2 linked regions of the Callithrix jacchus genome follow. The protein of the gene in region 1 interacts with the protein of each later gene in a pairwise test. Links are inferred from orthologs where the notes say so. Each region holds a gene or a part of one and is shown in the gene's direction. Other genes may lie near its edges.

Region 1 (6,806 bases):
GTTGTCTGTCGGATAGAGCCTTTTAGGAAAAGTCAGCTTTGGATCATGTCATCACCGTTCTAGTCTATGCAGAACATTTCACATAAGACATTTTTTCCCAACAAACACGACATTTTGTGTAGTCCTATGTTAAAATTTTGATGTAACTTTTTTTTTTATAGGGTTGATACCAACAAGCCAGAAGATATTGCAGGTATGCCTTAGGAAGTATCTGTAGTTTATGAAAATTGTTTTCAACGGTACAACTGTTACAGTAGGTTATGTGAATTAGTGGATGACAGACTGTCTTACATGCCTTCTTCTCATATGTAGCATTTAACTTAAGTATTTACCATAATCTGTTTGATAAATTTTTCTTACCTTTGTGATCATTAATGTGTAATGTAAGAATGCTTCTAACAATGGTGAATCGAGAGGGATGGCTTTTCTTTCATACACATGGAAAGTTAATTGTTGGGGGATATTAGAGGACATTGGAGGAGAAACAGCTCTATTCAATCCTTTCAGTGTACACAGATTAAGTCATATATCAGTTTTTTTTTCAATCTTTTACTTTAGGTTTGAGGGTACATGTACAGGTTTGTTAGATACATTGCGTGTCACAGGGGTTTGGTGTACAGATTATTTTGTCACCCAGGATTATAAGCATAGTACCTGCTGGGTGGTTTTCATCCTCACTCTCCTCCTGCCTGCCACCCTCAAGTAGGCCCAGGTGTCTGTTGTTCTCCTCTTCCTGTCCCTATGTACTCAGAGTGTTTAATAGGAGTTTTTCATCTTTCTAATTCAGCTATTCTATTGTCACAGCTTTCTGATTTTGTTTAAAAAAATTGAATTCTCGAAAATGATTTTCTATTATTATTCCAGCAATAAACTGTGTAGTAGAAAAGGAAAGACAACTTTTCTACCCAGTGGGAAACATGTCATTGGATCCAAAAACTCATACATTTTGTATAGGCATGTTACATGTTAGTTGCACTGACTGTTATAGGACCGTATTTTCAAAAAAGTTTGAGAAAATTTCTGTAGAGATGATGGAGACAATACTCTTATTTTTAAAAAGCTCAATTCAGTTTTCAGCTTTTCTATAGCGATAATACACATAAGCAGAATATTTGGAAAGCTTTGCTCGCTTGGTGGTGACAAAGTGCTGGTTTTGTGAGTTGCCTAATACATTGAGTGTGTTATAGATTGATACTGTATTTGAAAAATATTTGTATTATGGTGCAGATCTTTTATGATTGCTGAAAACTATTCTTAGTACTTGATGGTAGATCTCTTATGCAAAATCGTGTTTAGGAAAGCATTCCTTGCAGTATTACAGTTTTCTGAAACACAGCACTATGGATAAAAATATCATATAAAAACTCCAAGAAAGTATTTCAAAAGTGTTTCTGAATGTATTTCTTTATATAAACCTACATTTTTATACCCATGGATGTTGCTTCTTTTTGCTTCTTTTATTAAAATACAGTTAATAGCATAAATCAGTAGATTGCTTAAAAATACTTTTCTTATTGCATATTAACTTATTTCTACCCTTTTGATGGTCTTATTAAATAAGATACTTTTTTGTGTGCTTTACATAATGAGTTTTGATAGTATTTCATGGAACCATGTCCCTTGAATTGTAGGACATTTTATAAATGTAGAAATTAAAGTCTATGCTTATAAACTTTTCTGCACACTTAAACAATAGAAACTTTTAATTACTTGCTTTTTCATCATCTGTCAATTAAGTGATTTGCAGTTATACCAATTGGAATTGCAATAGTAATATTAACACCTGAAAGATTTTACAGAAAATAAGTGAGTAAATCTTGCTTTTTGAAATGATCTTTGCTTTATATATTTTAAATATCCTTCTGATATTGCTGAACCATATTGTCCGATATTGATGTCAATATATGCAAATAAACTAATTGTCAACATTAACTTTTAGTGCATTTTCATTTACTAACTAGCTGGCATTAGCGAGGATCTTGCTGCAAAAAGAAGAAGGATTGAAATGGATACAGAGGCTCGCCACAAAGCAAAGAAAAGTAAACGTGCTTTGAGGAAAAAACAACTTAAAAAGTATGTTGGCTTTTTTTGCATAATGATATTTATATTATTTCTTTGTATTCGTTGGTGCAAATAATTTCAAAAATTATCCTGTACATATTTTCGTCTCTAGTGAACAACATATTTTACTTGACTGCTCCCTAAGTAAGTTTCTTTAGTTCTATAACCTCGGTTTAACAGAATTGAAAGATATTACCTAGAAGCCAATGAAGATGACCTCTTTTTGCTTTCTAGATAAAAAGAGTTTGCCTGTAAAATTAATTTTTATCCATTTATAGAAGTATGGAAGTTGAATAAAAGATAAATGTCCTCAATGTTTAGTCTGCAGATCCTTAACGATACTCAATTATGTAGAGAGGGATAAACTTGTTATAAATAAGTTATCTATTTTAGTTAAATTGTTTTCACTATTTATTTTACAAAATCATTGTGCCAAAGTAGAGATGTAGTTAAGTGAAGTATTTCTTTTGGGAAATCTTACAGGATGAATGGCTGTGATATTCTTGAACCGACTTATGAGAACCCATATGTTGTTCAGTAAGAGGAAATGAAAGTAAACTGCTCTTAGAGAAAATGATTATTTCTGAGAGATTTATAGTGCAGTAAACCCTCCTTTGTCTTTGGCACATAAAGAATGTAAGACAGCTGCTCTAGTAGTCAGTTAGGAAGGAATCCCTTCATAATAAGAATAACTCATTTCACCTTTCCCCCCAAACAAGATTTCAGCTGCTATTACTCCCTTGCTACTTTACAGTATAAATTATGTCAAGTCAGTTTTGGTTTGAATAGGATTAATTTTTCATCTCTTTATGACATATGACCATGTTACTTACTATGTGTTACAGGCATAAACGTGATTATAAACATTCTCTGAAGTTGCTGAATGTCCTTGATGAATTCATCATATACGAGCAGAAAGATGAAGAAGAAGAAGAGAAAGAAGAAGAAGAACTAATTGTTGGTATCAGGCTTAGATTTATGATTAACCTATTGTATCAATGTCTCAGGTAGTATTAATTCATGCAGACATCCAGCAAAGAAGGAAGAGAGCATGAGCCCAGAGAGGGGGACCCATTAGTGGACTCATGGACTAGGGGAATTTAATTGCCATGCAGCGTTAGGGGTCCAACTGAGGTCAGTGTCATAGCAATTAAGAAGTTAAAGCCAGCCCAATTGGCATATTTGTGTAAGAGCTCCTGTAGGGTTGGAATTTCCTGGGTTGGAGTGTAGCTGAGCATGTTGATCTAGGGAGAGTTGGGCAGGGCATAGATACAGGGATGAGGTTGTGATGACTGGCTGTGGAATTTCAGCTGGGACTGAGTTGCCTGAGCACATGGGGGTGGGCAATGGTCAGTGAAAAGTACTCCACTCAGTGGGTGTCAGGTCCCAACAGACTTTTGAACTGTATTACTGAAGTGAGTGACCCACAATGGCAGGGAGGTAGTGGCTGTATGTTGGGAAGATGGAGAAATAGCTGAATTTGGTGGTCAAGGGCTGAGAGTCTGCAGCCACACTGCTTGGGATCCGACTCCAGTTTGACTATTGCTAGCTCGGAAATCATGGGCAAATTATTTATCTCTGTGCTTCAGTTTCCTTATCTACTAAAGGAGACATGGTAAGAGTACCTACCTAAGAGTTGTTTGGAGGATTAAAGGGTTTCTATGTAACAGGTTTATTTAAATTTTTCAGGATGTGATCTGACCCATCGTTGCTCTTCATCGTTGCTATTATTAATAATATGTAGGTGTTGAAGTCATTGGTAATGACAAAATCTAGGGGGATGACTGTGTGAGTGAGTGTCACGTAGAGGAGAGAAGAACACTGTAGTTGGAGACTAGGTCAAGGTTTAGAAAGGCAGTCATTATTGGATGGTTCATCTATGTGCATATTGAAATGACCAAAATTTAATACATGTTTAAAATCTTAGAAAGAATGTTTCTTAATTTCTGTATAGATCTTAACTATCTATGGTCAATAAATTATAGGAAGGTTCATCAAATATTCTTCATTTGAAATCAAGAATTAGGACATGTGTTGAATATGTATAAGAAAGAAAATTTTTTACTCAATGACAGATAAAAAAGGTTATTACATCATTTTAGCATGTGATTGGTGAACACAATTGTTTAAAATTCGTCCTAAATGTTGTCTAAAAGAAAGTGTTCAGAAATATTGATTTAAAGAGTATTCCTTTAAAGTTAATGCAGAATTGTTTTGCAAGTATTAAAATTTGCCCAATTTTTATCACTATTTTGTTTTGTAATTCTAGAAAATATTTCAAGAACAACAGAAGAGGTGGTACCGACATAGAAGTCTGAGGAGAGAGAGGCTGAGAACAATGAAGCTGCTACGTGAGGAATTTGTAAAGGTTTGTTCTATTTGGTAACATAATAGATTATAAAATACAACACGTGCATAATAGAAGACAGTCTGCTTCTTTCTGAATGTATGGAAAGACATTTTAGTTATACATTTTAAATTACTCACCATTTTCACTTTGAATGTATTGTTCCAGATTTAACATAATTGGTAAATGTGTTTTTAGGATTCATGAATAGTTTTGTGGGAGTTATTTAGAATAGGAAAAGGTAAATTGGAAATTTTACCTAGAAATGTGCATCTTATGTATATAATTGATACTTTACTAACACATTAACCTATTTATGCAGGAGGTTGCAAAATTTTTTTGTGTGTGAAAAAATCAGACCCTGCTATGACCTTTGAACAGTAGGATATACATGATTCCCACAAGCTTAGAATTCCAACAATGGAACACTAGGCAGAAATGGGTTTTAATGAAGATTTTATTTTCAGTTTTCAGGACATCAGCAGCGAATCTATGGTGAAAGGCAGGAAGTCCATAAATCATTTCTGGATGTCTTTTATACTTGTGTTGTTTCAACAGTTTTAGATAAATAGGAAGTAGGCAAGTGTAACTACTAAGTGTCTCTTTTGTTTCCTGCTGTAATACACTGGTGTTTTACTGCATATTCACTTACAAAATTATCATTGACTAGTAATGGTTTTACATGACAATTTGCAATCATAAGAGATGGTTCAGATGTATAACAGAATGGGAAAGTCAGCAGATTATTAACGCATTGTGAATTGGGAATTACCTGCTGTCGTACAGCACATTGGCAAATAGTCATTGGACAATGACCTCTTCTTCATGTAGATGTATATAATTTAGGAAACAATGCAATTACTTTTAGGGAAGCAAGGTATTCTTTTTAATAACCTTGTGAAAATACATGTTCATATGTCACTCTTCCATACTAACTGAGATGTGTTAAATAAACTGGGAAAATAGTTTGAAAATAACCTTTTCGAGCAACTTGAGGATGATCTATACAAAGTTATTTAAATAGAAGTCACAAGTAGAGAACTTGTTGCTACAGTGTTCCCCAGAAACCATTTATTAATTGGTATGAACATGAAACTAGAAGTTTTCCTGTCAACATTAATGCTGCATGTTACCACTTAGGGTAGGAACTTTGCTATCATCTTGGACTCTTCTGAGTCCGTTATCCTTCCCATCCAGTTATCACCAGGCAAGTTTCACCTCTGCAATGGTCCTTAAATGTCTTTCTTTAAATTCCCACTGAGGCTGCACTAGTTCAAAGCCTCATTCTTCCTTTCTCATACTATTTAATTTAATTATTTATTTTGAGATGGACTTTCACTCTTGTTGCCCAGGCTGGAGTGCAATGGCGCGATCTTGGCTCACAGCAATCTCCACCTCCCTGGTTCAAACGATTCTCCTGTTTCAGCCTTGCTCGTACTATTAAACTCTTTTATGAGTTCTCTCTTCTATTCTGAGCCATCCTTCATTGATCCCCAATACTATCTTCCTAAAACCCTTCCCTTCCCAAAATGCTTCCTAGCCCTTCCCTCTTCCCTGCCTGTCAGTGCTACCCATGTCTCAGTTCTTAGATATTCGGAGACTCTCCCCTTTACATGACCCCATCTTAGGCTTGTTTTGCTGCCCTGTGTCTTTGCTCCCGCCTCTGCAGGTTGACGGTCTTCCCTGAAGGAACTCACTGTTACTCCCATGCTTTTCTCATGCTCTTCCCTCACAATGCTTTAAATTTTTTTTCTTTTTTCTTTGACCAATTGAAACCTTTTGCCAACTAAGTCCACATCGGTCTCCATCTTTGGCTACATGTTTGAGTGAATTGCCCTTCCACAGCAGTTACACAATTGTTGTATTACTTTTTTTTTTAAATTTGTGCATTTGCTCATATCACAGGAATATGGAAGAGATCCTGTATTTATTTATTTATTTTTTTACTTCTTCCTCAGCATTAACATACAACATTTTAGGGGGCAGGGACTATTGAACTATGTTTGAGCAGAGAGAATATTCTTCAAAAATAGTTACATTTTCTCTAACTTGTTAAGATCATATCACCAACCATTTTATCCCTTCAATGGAAACCATGTTACATAGACTATTGCTGATAATACATGGGTCACTACCTGCTCAAAAAATATAATATTTCATGATACAAGACTGCCAGTCTTTTTCTGGCTTTACTTCATCTTGACCTTAAGAAGTTCTTCAACCCATTTTATTCAAGCAAAGCACATGACTGTTGGACCTGCTAAAATAGTATGTCACTGAAATCTGGCATTAAAACATTTAAGTGAGTATTTGGAGCTCCATGTATTGACTACAGTTTTTTCAATTTGAAATAAATAACCAGCATCCTTTGAATATTAAAACTGTTTCCTTTTGACAT
Region 2 (7,843 bases), on another chromosome or scaffold:
TCAACCTGGACAACATTGCAAAACTGTCTCTACAGAAAATACAAAAACTTATCTGGGTATGGCGGTGCACACCTCTGGTCTCAGCTACTCAGGAGGCTGAGGCAGAATGGCTTGAACACATGAGGTGGAGGTTGCAGTGAGCTGAGATCCTGCCAAGGCACTCCAGCCTGGGAGACAGAGTGAAACTTTGTCTCAAAACAACAATAAAAAGAAACTCTTAGAGGTTAAAATAAAGCTCAGAGTCATGGAAATCCAGGAGATAGGTGATACTTTTCAATATTCGTTCCTTTTTCTTTAGAGGGTCTTTGCTAACAAACATTTATTATAGATCCAGCATTTATGCAATTCAGTATCATTCCTTTTTGTATCTATCTATGGCTGAAATATTATGTTGTCACAAGAAAAGGTCAGAAGCTTCTGGAACAGTATCTGAATTACATGAAGGAGAATGAGAGCAGCCTTAATTTTTTAAAAACTTGAAACCCAGGCTGGACTGTCCAAAGCGGTGTGTGGCTTTTGAAACAGGGCCTGGAGGCAGCAAAATGATCCAGTTGTGTTGTTCTTTCCTTTGTCATACCTACATGGACAGGCCTGGACTTCTCACCTGCTACTGCAGAATGCAGAAATGTAGAAATTGACATATCAACAACCATTGGTCCTACACTTCAGCAGGTAGTTTTATTGACTGACTGATCAAGATGGGGTCTCACTCTGTCACCCAGGCTGGAGTGCAGTGGCACGATCTCAGCTCACTGCAACCTACGCCTTCTGGGCTCAAGTGATCCTCCCACCTCAGCCTACTGAGTAGCTGGAACTACAGGTGCGTACCACCATGCCTAGCTAAGTTTTGTATTTTTTAGTAGATACAGGGTTTCACCACGCTGCCCAGGCTGGTCTTGAATTCTTGAGTTCAAGCAATCCCCTTGCCTTGGCCTCCCAAATTACTGAGATTATAGGTGTGAGCCACCACACCTAGCCTCATAAAATATTTAACTCATATACTTTGTGACTCTAAAATACTATTTCTGAGGATATATGTTTGCATACACATATGTATACATGCAAGGCTGTTCACTGCAGTATGTATGTATAAGATGTTCATTACGGCATTGCTTATAATAGCCAAAGATTGGTCATAACTTAAATCTGTATTAATAGGGTCCCTGTTAAATACTTTGTAGGGAATCCATACAATAAAATTCTTTGCAATATTTTAAAAATAAATAAGCCTTTAGGTCCCAATGTGGAGACATCCAAATTATGTTAAGGGAAAAAGGTTTGTAGGACAGTATACATAAAATCACCTTTTTTTCCTTAAAAAGGGACATACCCATATAGAGGTACACACATACATACACACTTGACGTACACGTAACTCCATTTTGAAAGGTAACAAATTATTTCTTGGGAATAGGATTGGGAGGATGTAGAATGAGGTAGGTAGAATGACTTTTGTTTGCTTTTCACTTTATATTCTTCCCTGCAATTGGAACTATGTTTTTAGCCACCGCGCCCGGCCTAATATAGCATTTTAGATAGTGACTGATGCTATTAAAAAATATTACCAAACAATAGGAAAGAGTGTGGTGGGTGCTACTTTAGGCTTGTCCTAGTAGGCTTCCTAAACGGGAGCTATCTGAGGAAAGAGGAGGAAAAGTTTCCAGAGAGCAGACCGGGGCAGGAAAGAGCCTGGTGTCCCAGAGAAATAAGGCAAGTGTGTGTGTGTGTGTGTGTGTGTGTGTGTGTGTGTCAGGTTGGGGGGCAGGGCATGAGCCGGCTAAGGTTTTGTGTGAGAGGCGCCAGAGCCACGGAGTTTGCAGGCCACGGTGGGGTGGGGGAGATTTTCAAATCTGCCTTGCTGATTTGAAACGACGCTGCCCCTGGCCGGCCCCCTCCGCGGCTCCAGGCCAGCTGGTGCCAGCCGTGGGAGTGTAGGTCGGGATGGTGGGTTTTGCCTCTGTGCGGTCACCACCTGCCTGCGTGGCTGCCTTCTCCCGGGCGCCAGATCCCGGGGAAGCTCCAGCAGGGGAAGGGGGCGCGCAGCCGCAGGGGCGCCCAGAGATCCCGCCCTGCGGGGTAGCCGCCGCCCCGCGGGTTCCGGCAGGGGGAGGCAGGGGCTGGTGCGTGACGCCGGGCGTGCACGTGGCCAGGGAGTGTGCTTTTCGGGACAGGTGCGGGGGCCACCGGGAGCGCGAAGACGAAGATGTGTGCGGGCCCTCCGCAGCCTCGCCCGTCGGGTTATCCTCGGCTCTGCGGGCGGCAAGGTGGTCGTCGAGGTCATGTCCACCCAAAGCGCAATGTCCCGGGAGGGGGGGGTCAGGGCGCAGGGGCCGCTGAGCCGACTTCCCAATTCGTAAGCCTTTCTTTGGCTCTGACACTCGATTTGCCCATTTAAGAAATGAGACTCTGTGCCGGGCGCGATGGCTCAAGCCTCTAAATCCCAGCGCCTTGGGAGGCCGAGGCGAGAGGATCGCTTGAGGCCAGGAGTCCAGACCAGCCTTGACAATGTAGCGAGACCGCCGTCTCAAAATAAAGAGTTGGGGTACTCAAAAGAATAGAAAAACTCTTTGCAAACTCGGAGTTGGGGGTTTTATTCACTTTCTCTACTTCCCTCCTCCCTTTGGGAGTCCCAGGTGCTGGAGTAAGCACGCAGCCACCCACCACACCTCTCCAAGTCCACGGCACAGCTGCCGCACTTGATTTCGCATACCCCAGGGCCTGTAAACGCCGGAAAAGCTCCCGTGGGGTGCGGTTGATGGGTTTTGTCACGTGATCCTCACTGGTCTGCCCAGAGCTCGCGGGTAGCGAGCAAGTGCGCATGCGCATGCTCTCGATTCCACAACCCCACCCCCCACCCCGCCCCCAACTTGGCTCGGATGCCACCACTGCTAGCTCTTCCCCCTCCCTCTTCATCCTTCCTGACATTTACTCCCTTCCCCCAGCCCATTGGTTACTTCAGGCAGACAGTACGAGAAACCAAGCAATCACGACGCTGTTTTCAGAAGCCGGCACGCGGAACCGGTCACATCCGACCAATAGGGGCCCTTGGAACGGCCGCGCCCCAACCAGGCTGGGGAGCTCAGGCCCAGTGGGCGGCGCTTCTCAAGATAGCTTGTGGGCGGGGGAGGGCGGGGACCAGCAGCCGCAGAGGCGTCGTTGGCGGCGGCGGCGGCGACGACGTCGTTCAGTCTTTGGGGTGGGCTCGGCGGCGCAGGCTGGACTGCGTGGAGGGCTCGGCGGTCAGCGGCAGCGGCATTGGGGAGGCCGCTGCGCCATGAGGGAGCGTTAGATCGGCTCCGGAGGGCGAGGCGAGGGGCGGCAGCGGTCATCTGGTCCGGGGCGACCTTCGGTCGGGCCCGGGGGTGGGAAGGCCTGGGGCGGGGGTCGTCCCTGGTTGCGCTGGGCAGCGGGGCGGGGCTAGCCGGCCGTCGGGGTACTGGAGGCCTGGGTCGGTGCAAGGAGAAGGCGCTGTCGGCCGCCAGGCCCTGTCGCCGGGCCGTTCGACGACGACGCTCCCGCGGGGGCCCCACCTGAGAAGGACGCGGCGGCGGCGGCGGAGAGGCCGCGGGAGGCCGCGGAGGATGGAGGAGCGGAAGGAGGAGGGCGAGGCCGAGATCCAAGAGCACGGGCCCGAGCACTGGTTCTCCAAGTGGGAGCGGCAGTGCCTGGCCGAGGCCGAGCAGGACGAGCAGCTGCCACCCGAGCTGCAGGAGGAGGCAGCGGCCGCCGCGCAGCCCGAACACAAGCAGCAGAAGCTGTGGCACCTCTTCCAGAACTCGGCCACCGCCGTCGCTCAGCTCTACAAAGGTGAGGCCGCCGCCGCCATCTTGGTGCCGCCTGGCCGCCCCCACCTGGGCCGGGCCTTGTAGGCTCAGCGGCCGCTTCTGGGGGCTGCGACGGCGGCGGCCTCAGGGATCCTGGCCGGTGGCGCCGCGGCCCAGTCGCCCCCTCCTCGAAAGATGGCGCCGCGGGAGGGAGGTCCAGGGTTGGGGGGCAGGCGCGGCCGGGGGCAGGCCGGGGCCGGCGTCGGGGGAGTCCCGCTTTGGTGCCGTCCTAGGACCCCGCTCTCCGGGTCCGGCCGCCGGGTGTTCCCCTCGGCCCGGCAGGGGGAGGGGAGGAGCCCCCGGTCACAAAATGGCGAAGGGAGACGGCGGGGCGGCCCCATTGTGCCCCGAGCCGGCCTCGGGGCGGGGACTCCGAGGGGGGGCGCCTCCCTGCGCCGCCGATCGTCCCTGATCTGCGCCCCTGAGCCCTACGGCTTCCCTTTCTCTCCGCCTCGATCGCCCCTACCCTCCGTTTTTCCACTGGGTTTGGGATCCCGAAACCCTTGAACAAAATGGCGAAACCTAATATGGCCGTTTTGGAATGATTGACGCCCAAATAACATTCTTTTTCTGTTTCTTTCTCTTTCTATGTGTGTGTTTTTTTCTTTCTTTCTTTCTTTTTTTTTTTTGGGCTTGCTTTTCAGACCGAGTGTGTCAGCAGCCAGGACTTTCTCTCTGGGTCCCCTTCCAAAACGCAGCCACCGCCGTCACCAACCTCTACAAAGGTAAAGATAACCTTGCTGCATTGCCGATTCAGGGAAGGGCCGCCTGCGTCAGGGTGTCTGCCCTGCGTTCCAAGTGTGTTTTCTGCTCCCCAACCCAGCTGCTAATCTTGAATACGTTGCAACTTGAGAATCCCGGCGGTGCTCTAGCTAGATCCGGAGGCGATTTTGACACCTCCCCCCCCCCCACAGATGGCAACGCCTGGGGACATTTTTGGTTGTCTTCTCCGAGAGGGGACTGCTGTTGGCACCCAGTAGATAGAGGCTGCTAAAGGTCCTGCAGTGCCCAAGCCCCCCACTACCGCCTCAGCGAAGAATTGTGCTACCCGTAAAGTCAGTAGTGCCCGGGTTGAGAGGCCTTGAACTTGAAGCCTTTCTTCCCTCTGGAAAAGACTGAGAGAAGAGTTGATGTTTTTTGTACCACAGTTGGAGATGGGGCGAACTTTATAGAGAAGATTCTTGAGTTAGGCATTTGAGAGTGTGGCAGTCTGATGGCGTTGAAGTGCTTGAAAGCTTGCTAATTGGACGTGCATGAGTGCTTTTCTCTAGCAATTCCATCAAGTGTTTTCTGTCAAAACGATCCTATATTTGGGTATAAGTTGCCGGCAGGAGCTTTGATGAGAGTTTTGTCCATCGGTTTGTGTTTTATGAGGGTGCCTTTCTGGAGTTAATTCCCCGCTTTGTGATGACATGAAGATGTGTTGGTAAACCTTCTTGGCCTTTGTGCTCTCATGGTAACGGTGGGTTTACATTTTGTGCCTTACTGATTAGATTGGGAAATTTGGGGTTGAATTTTTTGGCAAGGTTTTTTGTTTGTTTGTTTGTTTGTTGTTGTTTTCTTTCCTAGACTGCTCAGCAGGAATGGCAAGGTTGTTTTTTTTGTTTTTGTTTTTCTTAAAGACGGGGTTTCACCATATTGGTCAGTCTGGTCTTGAACTCCCGACCTCAGGTGATCCGAGTAATGGCAAGGTTTTTTAGGAAAAAGGTTTGACTTTGTTAATATTAAGAAAAATGTGATTAAATTAAAATGCTTTCAGACTTTTTAAGAGCTGCTCAGAACAGTAATGGAATTTTGTGCATTTTAAAAATATCAATGTAGGTTGGAATAGGCTACATTTTAAGAGCTGCTCAGAACAGTAAAGGACTTTTGTGCTTTTAAAAAATACCAGTATAGATTGGAACAGGCTATGAAGCTGCTTCTTGACTCTCAAGTTACTGTTTTTGCATAAGAATGTGCAAATGGCCACAGCATTCTGTAGGAAAAATAGCTCTTACGGTGAGATTTTTTTTGAGAAGACTACACTTTTTTGGGACAGTAATTTGAGAACTGGTTACAAAGTGGTGAAAAGGAACACTTACTTGAGGGAATGAGGAACTATTAAAGTAGTAGTCCAACCATACTGAAAAAAGGGCAACATGGTTAAATAGTGCCCAGTGGTTAAGTTTGATTTCTCTATAGCTGTTTCTTAAATTATGAATGAGTAAACTGTTTCAGCATCATCCATCCGTGCTTGAGGGTCTTGAACATTCTCTTTAGAATGGCTCTTGGTTTTGTCCAAAAAGGGAATTTTGAAATAATACTTTATTTAAAAATATAAGGTTTCTTGGCGTGTAGTTTACATACAGTAAAATCACCCTTTTTGGATGTATACTTTGATTTTTTTTTTTAACTAACAAGTAGATTAAATCTGTCACCTCCACTCCAGCCCTAACAGTCACTGATTTGATTGCTGTTTTTTTCTTCTCCATTATTTCCTAAATAGAACCGTCTAGTCCTCGTAGCCTTTTGTGTCTGGCTTCTTCCAGTTACTATGATAAGATTTACCCATCGAGTTTGCATTGCAGATGTGCATAGTTCATTGCCTTTTGATTGGCGAGTATTACTGTGGTGTGGGGGTACCACTGTTTATTGTTTTGCTCTTGTTAGTAGTTGTTTTTTGCTTGAAGGGGAAGGCAACACATTTTTACTGTTTTTATATACCAAGCTCTTAGCCTAGGCCGTGTACAAATGTGAGTGTCCTCTGGATTTGGTGCCGTTGTGTGCTTGGAGATTGTGTCCCTTTCAGTCGAAGCTAGCTGGGGTTTCACCACGTTGGCCAGGATGGTCTCAGTCTCTTGACCGCGGGATCCACCTGCCCCAGCCTCCCAAAGTGTTGGGATTACAGGTGTGAGCCACCGCGCCCGGCCCATTAGCAGTTTCTTTAGTGCTAACTTTTTTTGTAAGAAGGTGGGTTCAGCAGTTGAACCCTGAAATAATCTTTAATTTGATTACTTTATTTAAAAATGGTTACAGTTTCTAGTTTTCCTGCTCAGAAAACTTGACAAACATGAATTTTATTTTAAATATCACGATTCTTGGATTATTGTAAATACTAGATTGTTAGTCTGCATTAGTTTGATTTTGTATCTTGTTTCTGTACAATGAAAACACATCCCTTCTTGCCTAACAAATGCTAAGTTGTGTCTTGTGGAATTCAATAGTGTAGTATCATTTTATTTGATTCAAGGAGTGTGTGGTTAATACTCTGGATAGCCTCACACTTTTTCTTCTTTTCAGGGTGTGGTCTTTAGAGAAGAGGCATACAGCTGTAGGAATAATTGGTTCCCTTAAATAGAACCAATAAAATTAGCAAGGTAGTGTCACAAGTGCAGTCAGCAGTAAGTAGTACTAAATTTAAATGAGAATAGTTCTGATTAAATACTTGAATATAAATTTGGGGGGGGAATTTGGCAGATACTTCTAAGTGGGTAGCAGGCAGCATTCCTGCATTTTGTATAATTAAACACTTAATCTGGCAAGGTAAAAGTGGCTTATTTTGCAGCTTGGGGACAGTTTGGCACTCCTACTAGCTTCTTAATAACTACCAGGAAGTTCATTAAGTGTTTATCTCAATCCTGACCTTCATTAGGAAGGTCAGTATTGACAAGGTCAGGATTGAGATAAAAACCCAGCAGAAGGGTCCCTTTTAGTTGTCAGTGGGCTTCTGAAAAGTTGAGCATTCAGTTCATTGGTTTGCTTGGAATGTGGCTAGAAAGATTTGGAAGAGAATGTAAATGTAAGTTGAATTTGTCCCTTTAGCAAGGATAGAATTCAATAAAATGGACCAGACACGGTGGCTCACGCCTGTAATCCCAGCACTTTGGGAGGCCAAGGCAGGTGGATCACGAGGTCAAGAGATCGAGACCATCCTTGTCAACAAACCCCATCTCTACTAAAAATACAAAAAATTAGCTGGGCACGGTGGCGCATGCCTGTAATCCCAGCTACTCAGGAGGCTGAGGCAGGAGAACTGCCTG

What was found. The genes of interacting proteins can lie anywhere in the genome.
Region 2: the proteins of FAM9B (region 1) and HAPSTR1 interact in binary tests that used the Homo sapiens proteins (3 or more experiments, as listed by UniProt). The link is inferred for Callithrix jacchus from reciprocal best matches to the Homo sapiens genes FAM9B and HAPSTR1.

What each region holds. Positions count from the first base shown.
Region 1 is NC_133524.1:9,241,593-9,248,398, reverse strand, and holds part of FAM9B (protein FAM9B), read left to right. Parts: intron 1-161; coding exon 162-193; intron 194-1,961; coding exon 1,962-2,073; intron 2,074-2,906; coding exon 2,907-3,018; intron 3,019-4,330; coding exon 4,331-4,429; intron 4,430-6,806. UniProt on the Homo sapiens protein: May play a role in meiosis.
Region 2 is NC_133513.1:11,321,753-11,329,595, reverse strand, and holds the start of HAPSTR1 (HUWE1-associated protein modifying stress responses 1), read left to right. Parts: upstream 1-3,182; 5' UTR 3,183-3,581; coding exon 3,582-3,807; intron 3,808-4,468; coding exon 4,469-4,549; intron 4,550-7,843. UniProt on the Homo sapiens protein: Acts as a central player within a network of stress response pathways promoting cellular adaptability. The E3 ligase HUWE1 assists HAPSTR1 in controlling stress signaling and in turn, HUWE1 feeds back to promote the degradation of HAPSTR1.